Linked DNA regions of Oryzias latipes. The protein of the gene in region 2 binds, or shares a complex with, the protein of the main gene of each other region. Links are inferred from orthologs where the notes say so. Each region holds a gene or a part of one and is shown on either strand. Other genes may lie near its edges.

Region 1 (4,323 bases), on a different chromosome or scaffold from region 2:
GAAAGACGTGTAAAAAAAAAAGCTTATAAAAATTGATATCTGCATGAAAGATGCCAATATTTATTGTGAAGCTTTTTACTAAATATTTTTAAGGATTTACTTTTAACAACTGGATAACTGATTAGTTTTATTCTATAAATATGACTTCTTACAGCCTCAATCTTTTCAGAACAATTGACCTCTTGTGGAGAACCAATTACCCAGAAATAGTTTTATTTTGTTGATGTTGTTTTTCTCAAAATAAAGGACATTTACTCATCAATCAAAGAACATCTACAAGTTAACAGACATTGTAGGAATAATAATTTGTTTGCATTAATTCATCTATTGGTGAAAAAATGCTGGCAACAATAAAATATATAATCATTTTGGGGGAAATCTGAAACATTGGCTGAGTCAAAGCTGTCCAAAGTTCACTTTAGGCATCAATGTTGATAGAAGTAAAATGTTTGTGCACCATGTCCCATAAACATAGAAAACCATGTGCTCAATGAATGAATAGAGACCTTCCACTATGTATAAAAGCTTAAAGACGTTAATATTTGCAGGCATTGGTCGAAATGTGCCTTTTATTGTTTATTTCCTGTAACTGGACCTTTCTTAGCAGACAGTGAATTTTAAGGTTTTGTAAAATAGAACTATATAATCACTCTAAGCAAAAGTCTTCAACCTTGAGAAAGACAGTAAATTGATATACTGTAGTACTGACCCATCTGTCCACTTGTTGGATAGTTTATTCAGTGGACAGATGGGTCAAAGCAGAAACAGCAGTTAGCGTAACAGAGAGAACACGGTGTTTAAATCTTTGTTTTTGTGGCTGTTGCTAGGCAACAAATGGGCAGAAGACAACAGTGCTGAGGAGGAAGGCAACAGGAAGTCAGCCTCAGATCCTCAGAGATTCACAATCTGATAATAGAGAAGAAAACCCACAGACTTTGGGCAAAAGGGCATTTAATGTGTAACAGTCTTCTTCATTTAGGATGAGGGTTCACGTTTCAGAGACTTATATGGACAATTGATCATTCACAGAAATCACCACCAGGGGGCACCACCGGTCTAAAGAAATCTACTGAAAGAGTCACACTTCCAAAAAGATCATACAAAATAAAATAAAACATGCAAAGCAACAACAGCTAAAACATTGTCACAGGGATGGATCTCACTCAGACAATAGATGGGATTAATGCTAAATGTTTCACAAATAGAACCAGATAGGTGCAGAACAGGAGCTTTTCCTACCCTTTTAGCTTATTTTCTGAGACCATTCCCACTAAATGTCCCGTTTCTGACACTGCAGTGTAACCTCGAGATCTGTGACGTGGGTTTGACACCAGAGGTGAGACAGGTGAGCAGATCAAAGGACTTCTGCTCAGAAATGTTCAAATATTATGTTTGATTGAATGGACTGAAATCTGCGGAGGTGAAAGTGCGACTGGTGACTTTTCTCCGCCTTGCTGGAGTGTAAACAAAGTAACAGGATTAGAAAGAGAGGAGGAGGAAGAGGAGGAGCTGAAGAAGGAGGAAGAGGAGGCGTCCTGCTCGTCCGAGACCAGAGGAGAGGAGCGGCCGCCATGTTAACCAAGAAGCCCGGAGCCCCGGTCCTCCCGACGGGTAAGTTCAGCCTGCTTTAGCCCGCAGAGCGGTGCCGAGGCCCGTGGCCGCGCGGGAGGCACGCGGCGGTCCGGGCGCGCGGGATGGTGGGTCACGGGCGCCGCCGGGCACGCGCCGGGCTCCGGTATCCGCCTGTCAGCGCCGCTCCTGCGGCTCGTCTCTCTCTCTGTGCATCTGACTGCTCGGTACTTCCACCGTCTTCTCCCGAGATGACCGGAGGAGAATCTGCGCCGCGAGCGCGCAGAGGAAACCGGCGGAAGTGGAGGTGTCGGTCCGGCTGTTAGGTTTATTTTTAGCCGTTAGATGAGAAGTGACAGCGGCAGAAGGAGAGCTGCTGGTTCGGTTTCCAGCCTACGGCTCCTTCTGGTCCCGAAGCCTCACCGGTGGAACACCAATTTCGTTTCCCTGCCTGAGTGTATGCGGCTCCTTTTGGGTCCCCCTGACAGGAGGAAAGCCCGGTTTCGGTTCCGAATCGCTTCATTTAGTATGTGAGTAAACAAATAGATGTGGTTTAATGAGCCGACATTGTTGTCATGGGTGTTACGGAGGCGTTTGTTACCGGACTGGAGCTTCCGGTTACAGTCCGCTAATAATGCTGCTGGCAGCAGAAAAACAAAATGTTCTTTATATTATTTGTGGATTTTGGATCTTTTACCCTTTAATGACATTTCAAATTGTTGTTCTACCTTTCACGACACATGTAAACGGCTAAACGGATGTTTTTAACATCCAGAACGAGTTAGCTTAGCATTCATGCTAATGTGTTATGTAGTAGTAGTACATCAATAATACCAACTGTAATATGAGTGCAGGTATTTCTGTTGGTCTGATTATTGCTTTTATATCTTCTATGGGCCGCATAAATATATTTTTAACATGTACCTTTGGAAAACCGCCGTAAATTGTGGTTACAAAAAAATAAAAAAAATAAAAACTAGCTAAAACCTACCTGCTGTGTTAGCATAAAGACTTCTGTTCTAAAGGCTTAGCTAATAGAAATAAAAAAGGACAACATATTTACAGTACAGCTCACTTGTCTGGTGCACATTGGGAAAAATTAAATTTGTCGGAATTCTACTTTTAGTTAAGTTACTTCTCATTTTATGCTAATAAAAATGGGCTTTTAGCTAAAACTGCAATTATAACAACTGTCGTTATCAGTTATAGTACTAGCATCAGGTTCAATTCACTGATCAGTGTCATGTACGTATACCATGCAGCTGAAGTCAGTGGAATAAATCCAGTGGATCATCAGGAATCCGCCTCCGTTGGATTTTGTGGACTGGGTCGGCAGGTTGAGTAAGAATCCAGGCAGAGCCGATCCAGCCTAACGCCATGGCATGCCAGACATTTCATTAGCACATCTTCACGTGTTGGAATCGCGCACACAAACACCTGCAGCTTTCTCACCTTTAACGCTGACCAATGGGAGTGTGTTTATTTCAGCTGCAGTCCTGGTTTCCACCTGCGGTACCATCAGTTGACTTTAGAGTAATCTAGATCTGTGTGAGGATCCGTCTCAGCCCGGTTTCCTCCTCAGGCCCGCATGGTGACAGTCTGTGCTGCCTCAGGCTGTGTTCCAGTTATGTTCCCCACTTCATGTTAGACGCTAGCGGGTTCAGATGCTGCAGAAGGCAAACTGTTGATGAACAGAGACCTGTTTGTTGACACAGTTATCATACCAGCAGGAGTGTGGGGTGAATAGATGGAGTGCTGTGGTTCTTCGTTGTCTGCAGAGCCCAAGTTTCAGTTATTGTCATCATGATTGACAGTTGTCTAGCAGATCAGCTGCAGTTCTGACTGATGAAACTTTTCTTTTTGACATTTTTGTCCTGTGATCTTTAAGTACACACATCTTTCAGTCCTTCTCATCTTTTTACGTTTTAGTTTGATCTTTGTGGCTTTTTGGGTCAAACATACAGTCTATAGAGCCCCTTTTCTCTTTTCAGGCGCGACTGGTGTTTTTGTTGCAGCAATTCTTTTTCATTTTGTCTGGGAATTCAATTCTTTGTTCAAGCTTTTATTTTGAAGTTGCTATCACGGCCTTAAGCAATTTTTTGGGAGTTACAGAAGCACAAGGAATCGGACGGGGCAAATGCAGTTGAGCTTGACATTCGTGCTTTGGCTGTCAGGAATCTGGGCCTATGATGTCACCGCTCCTGAACAAAAGGTATCAGAAACATGCAATGGATCTCTGAGCAGCACATCTTTGTAGCACATTCCTGAAAAATATGCAAAAATGAGGATTTTTAGTGGTCAGTTAATTCCAACTCGCACAGAATTGTTCAGAAATAAGACTTTAGTCAAATTAAGATGTGAAACAACAGGAAACATGATTTAGAAAGACTATAAAAAAGCAGTGACTCACCTGTTTTTGTCTTCAGGAATAAGTTTTGGTAAATGTTGCTCATCAGGTGTAACTGTTTCTGGTGTCTCAGCGTATGAAAGATGTATTTTTTAATGAAATATCTTCATTTAACTCCAGAAAACCAGCTGCTCTAGAGGTTTCAGAGTTTTTATAAAGAATTTTCTCTGACAGAAGGTTGCAAAGTTGGCCTTATTTTTATCTCGATTGATCTAATCTATAGATCCACCTTTTCTTTACAGGAATCTCTTTTTCTCTTCCTCATTTTAGTCATAAAGTTCCACTTCTGGTTTATACAGCTCTTGTTTTTGATTTTTGACGTTTCCAGTGTTTTAGAGCTGTCCATT
Region 2 (4,108 bases):
GCAGTTCATTAGAAATTTACCTCCGAGTTGTGGGCGGGAGTGTTGGCATGGAGCAAACCCGCCCCATCCCCTCCCCGTTGTAAAGCGGGGCGCTTGTTGCCCACCACATGAATCTCATCACAAAGCTCTTTTTTTCATCTGAATATAGAATTACCGCTCATTGACTATCGCAGTTTACGTTTCAGTCTGTGTGGATATTTTTCATTGGAATCTTTTTTTTTTTTTTAATCGCAGGTTATTTTTGGAACGTAAATTTGAGCTTAGTTTTCTTTTATGCCCTTCATCAGAAAAAGGCACTAGAGCACGTTGAAAACACCAGAAAACAAGATTTTCATCAGAGTGGGTCTTTAGGAAGTATTCTGTCATGTGTGGAATTTAACAAATAGATGAAACTCATTTTTCTAACAGCTTCCACAATAAACTATGGTAAAGAGAAGTCAAACATTTTGGTGGTGATTTAATTTACACTGAAGATTCGTGTCCTTAAAGAGGGTTACTGCGCTGTCAACATCAATGTGATTTAAAGTCAACTGTATTAAAAAAACAAAAACACAAATGAAAGGTTAATTCCCAGTTTTTTTCCATTTATTATTTCAAACTTTTTACCTTACAAGCTCACCATTTAATTACAACATACTAAAACAAAAGTGTGGAAAATAATACAAGCCGCTGGGATTGAAGAAGCAGTGAAATTGATTCTTGCAGGAAGTGAGCGGCAGGCCGACTCAATGTCCATATCTGTGAAAACATGACAAACAGCTTAGCAATGTCTAAAGCAACAACTTTAAAGAAAATCGTACTTTCAGAAATGTAATCAATAAAACTACATGACATCAATCAAACTTACTTCTGAAACTCCCACTCTCTGTTATCAAGGGGACACACTTGTCTGGTTTTCAACCAGCGGGAAATACAATGGAAATGGAATGCATGCTAAAAGAAGACAAACAGGTGAAAAAGAAATTAGAAATGTTAAGGGCTTTAGCTCTAAATGCTCATATTGGTATCCATCATTTCATCTTCCAGAAAACACACAGATAATCTGAGTCTTCCATCAATTTAATTGGAAACTTACATTGCAGACCCCCCAGGCTACTGTGCATTCCTCTGAGGTTGCAGATGCTTGGTTGGCTTGACATTCTATGCCTGATCAAGAAAACATGCAACGTGTCACAGAAATCTAAACTTGTTGGGAGAAGAAGGGCTTGTAGAAGCTTAGAAGTACTCATTCTGCTAAAAGTTTGAAGTCAAAATGAAGACAGGAAGCTATCAGAGAATGCATTAAAGTGAACTCACAGAGATCCATGATGTGGTTTCTACAGATGGCGCAGTTATCCACAACAATGTCCCAGGCCCACAGCGCCACAGCATTCCACTGAGGGGGACAGAACAATCAGATGAGCACATGTTTAATCTATGTTACCCAGGATTATATACACCAGTTAAATGTTTTAGAACGTTCCAACGTTTCCAGACTTTTTTTTAACCATATCTAGCATAATGTCTTGTAATACTTTGAATGGAAAGGATCGAAAGAAATAAGCAACTGGAATTACAAAAAGAAAACAAAATATAGTTGTTAAACATGTCCACTGATCGGAATGTTAAAACATTTTAGGGAAATCAAAAATATTAGCATTTCCTTCCTGCCATTTTTGATAGACATGGCTGATATAAAGAACATGTTCCTGAATTATTTTCTTGTTTTTGGTCATCATGACACTTTTTTTCCCCCCATTTTAAAAATAGTTGACAGGAAAGATTTAGTGCTTCCTTTTACAGTAAAGATAAATATATCAAATTGCACCTGTCAGGTGCACAAATCAGATAAGCACTTTTAAGGGAATATATATATATATATATATATATATATATATATATATATATATATATATATATATATATATATATATATATATAAAACTTTATAGCAATAATCTAAAGAAATCGGTTAACATGTGAAATACACGAACAAAAATTTAAAATTAGAGAAAAAGATGATGTGCTGCTAGATCTTGAAACCTCAGCTTTATGCTAAGCTAAATTAGCATCCGAATAGCACAAAAATAAAACAAATATTAAAAGAATTAAGATTATAGCTCTCGTTACCATTTCAAAAACGCTGTTTTTCTGTTACGCTCGACTGAAGGTAATCTTGTAAATATCACAACATGGTCTAAGTTATGACATTATTTAGAAATGCACATTCATTTTCGTTAAGCAAGCTAACTTTATGCTAGGCAACATCGAACATGCTAATAGGAGTCGTTAACCAGCTAGAGGAGGTTAAAACAGACAGGGCTCCTTTGTTCTTCTTTTATATAGCAAACGTGTTTGACCAATCCAGAGTTGACCAGGTAATAAATAAAATCAGACCTTTTTAACTTCGAAGCGTTTCTTGCTTGAGCCACTGTTAGCACCACTCGGTGTGTCAACGTCCATCGCTGCTGCCATCTTGAAACGTCGTCTGTACAAAGCCGTCCGGATGTAGCAACAGTCTCAGTCGGTTAAGTTCATTAACTTAACCGACTGAGACGGGAAAGACGAAATAAAATAACAACCAAAACATGAATTTCATTTAAAAATTAAATAAATTAATTAATAAATAAGCACAACTTTAAAGAAGATAGTAAGTGATTCCATAGACGAGGGTGGAAGAAAAATCTCAGGTCCCACCGAGATTTGAACTCGGATCGCTGGATTCAGAGTCCAGAGTGCTAACCATTACACCATGGAACCATGTTGAAGCCACAGCCAAGAATTATTAAGGTACCATCAAGACACCGATCACACGTTCAATTCGAATATTGTTAGAATTCTATCTACTAAACAGGTTAACTACATTTTTGCAGCTTAACAATTTCTTTAAAAAGAAAAATTTAAAAACAGGAACTTCTTCATTCATCAAAACGGTGAATATAACGGGTTTTAAAAATTATTAGCATCCTGCCGTAAATGATTTAATGCTAAGTTAACTTACAGGCCTACTTTTTGTGTTCCGTGCTATTTATTATTTGAAAATAAAATAATTGACAGACACTTTAATGTTTGACGATTGTTGAGGTGAACAGGGGTTCCATAATATTTTCTATGTTCTTTTAAATATGCATTACAGGGGTTCTATTATATGTTGTATTTTCTTGTTATTATAATGGATTCTATTTTTGCATGTATATTGTACTGCACAAATATGCTTGATTCCTGCCCTCAGTAGCAGATAATATGTGACGAGGTCACCAGTAGGCCTGTTTTTGACTTGCAGTCTCTGCTTTCTTTCTGTACTGGAGTGTTTATGGAGCCATAACAGCTGCAATGCAGACTAGACAGAAACACACCATTCTACTGACGTATTTTGTATGTTTTCATCTTCCCTTACTTAATAATAAAAAACGCCTTTTTGCCTTGAGGACAGAGAGAGCGGACAGCCACAGAGCCTAACAGGTCATGTTTTTCCAACTCTCCGTTTTTGCAAAAGGTTTGAGAATTCATGCAAACTCTTGTGTCTTTTCGTTTCCCCAACTGCACATTTCATTTTTGGACGTCCTGAACCATCCGAATCCGCGAAGGCCGGACAGGAGGCCAACAGGATCAATAAACTTATATATTTTGTGACTTTTAATATTTTTTGAAAAGTTGTATTCTGTTGTTTAGAGTAGCTTTGCCTACAAAATATGAAGATAGTGCACACAACATGTTGTATGAAGCAGTTTTAATAAAAAAACAAAAAAGTTGAACTTTTTCCCAAACAAAACTCTTTGTAAAGAAACCACCAAAACATGATTCATTTTATTATAATGCCATCTTGTTCATGGTCTTTTTTGGAGTCCCAGATTTTTTTTGTAACCTTTTCTTAGATGATTTGCTTAGTTTCGACTTCGCAGGTCTAGTTTTCACTTTGGGGGGCTTCAAAGAACCTGGTTTGGTTATTGTAGAAAGTTTCGGCTCCCTGCTGCCCTCCTGCTTAATGGAGGCGTTTTCTGAGCAGGATGCGAAGACATTAATGTCTCTGACTTGCTGACCTCTGAGGTCAGGAGGGTTACCGCAAGTCGCTGTAACTTCAAATCTCACACTCTCCATCCACCTGAAACACAAAGATAGTACACAAAAA

The links. Proteins that work in one complex are often made in the same cells at the same time.
Region 1: rbx1 (region 2) and dyrk2 share a complex: the UniProt entries of both Homo sapiens proteins name them as parts of the E3 ligase complex. The link is inferred for Oryzias latipes from reciprocal best matches to the Homo sapiens genes RBX1 and DYRK2.

The regions. Positions count from the first base shown.
Region 1 is NC_019881.2:22,931,388-22,935,710, forward strand, and holds the start of dyrk2 (dual specificity tyrosine-phosphorylation-regulated kinase 2), read left to right. Parts: upstream 1-1,464; 5' UTR 1,465-1,571; coding exon 1,572-1,611; intron 1,612-1,689; exon of another isoform or gene 1,690-2,099; intron 2,100-4,323. UniProt on the Homo sapiens protein: Serine/threonine-protein kinase involved in the regulation of the mitotic cell cycle, cell proliferation, apoptosis, organization of the cytoskeleton and neurite outgrowth. Functions in part via its role in ubiquitin-dependent proteasomal protein degradation.
Region 2 is NC_019866.2:19,409,064-19,413,171, forward strand, and holds rbx1 (E3 ubiquitin-protein ligase RBX1), read right to left. Parts: upstream 2,691-4,108; 5' UTR 2,455-2,690; coding exon 2,377-2,454; intron 1,376-2,376; coding exon 1,297-1,375; intron 1,147-1,296; coding exon 1,076-1,146; intron 934-1,075; coding exon 848-933; intron 739-847; coding exon 726-738; 3' UTR 561-725; downstream 1-560. Other genes in the region: chondroadherin-like protein, read right to left, coding at 3,790-4,081. UniProt on the Homo sapiens protein: E3 ubiquitin ligase component of multiple cullin-RING-based E3 ubiquitin-protein ligase (CRLs) complexes which mediate the ubiquitination and subsequent proteasomal degradation of target proteins, including proteins involved in cell cycle progression, signal transduction, transcription and transcription-coupled nucleotide excision repair.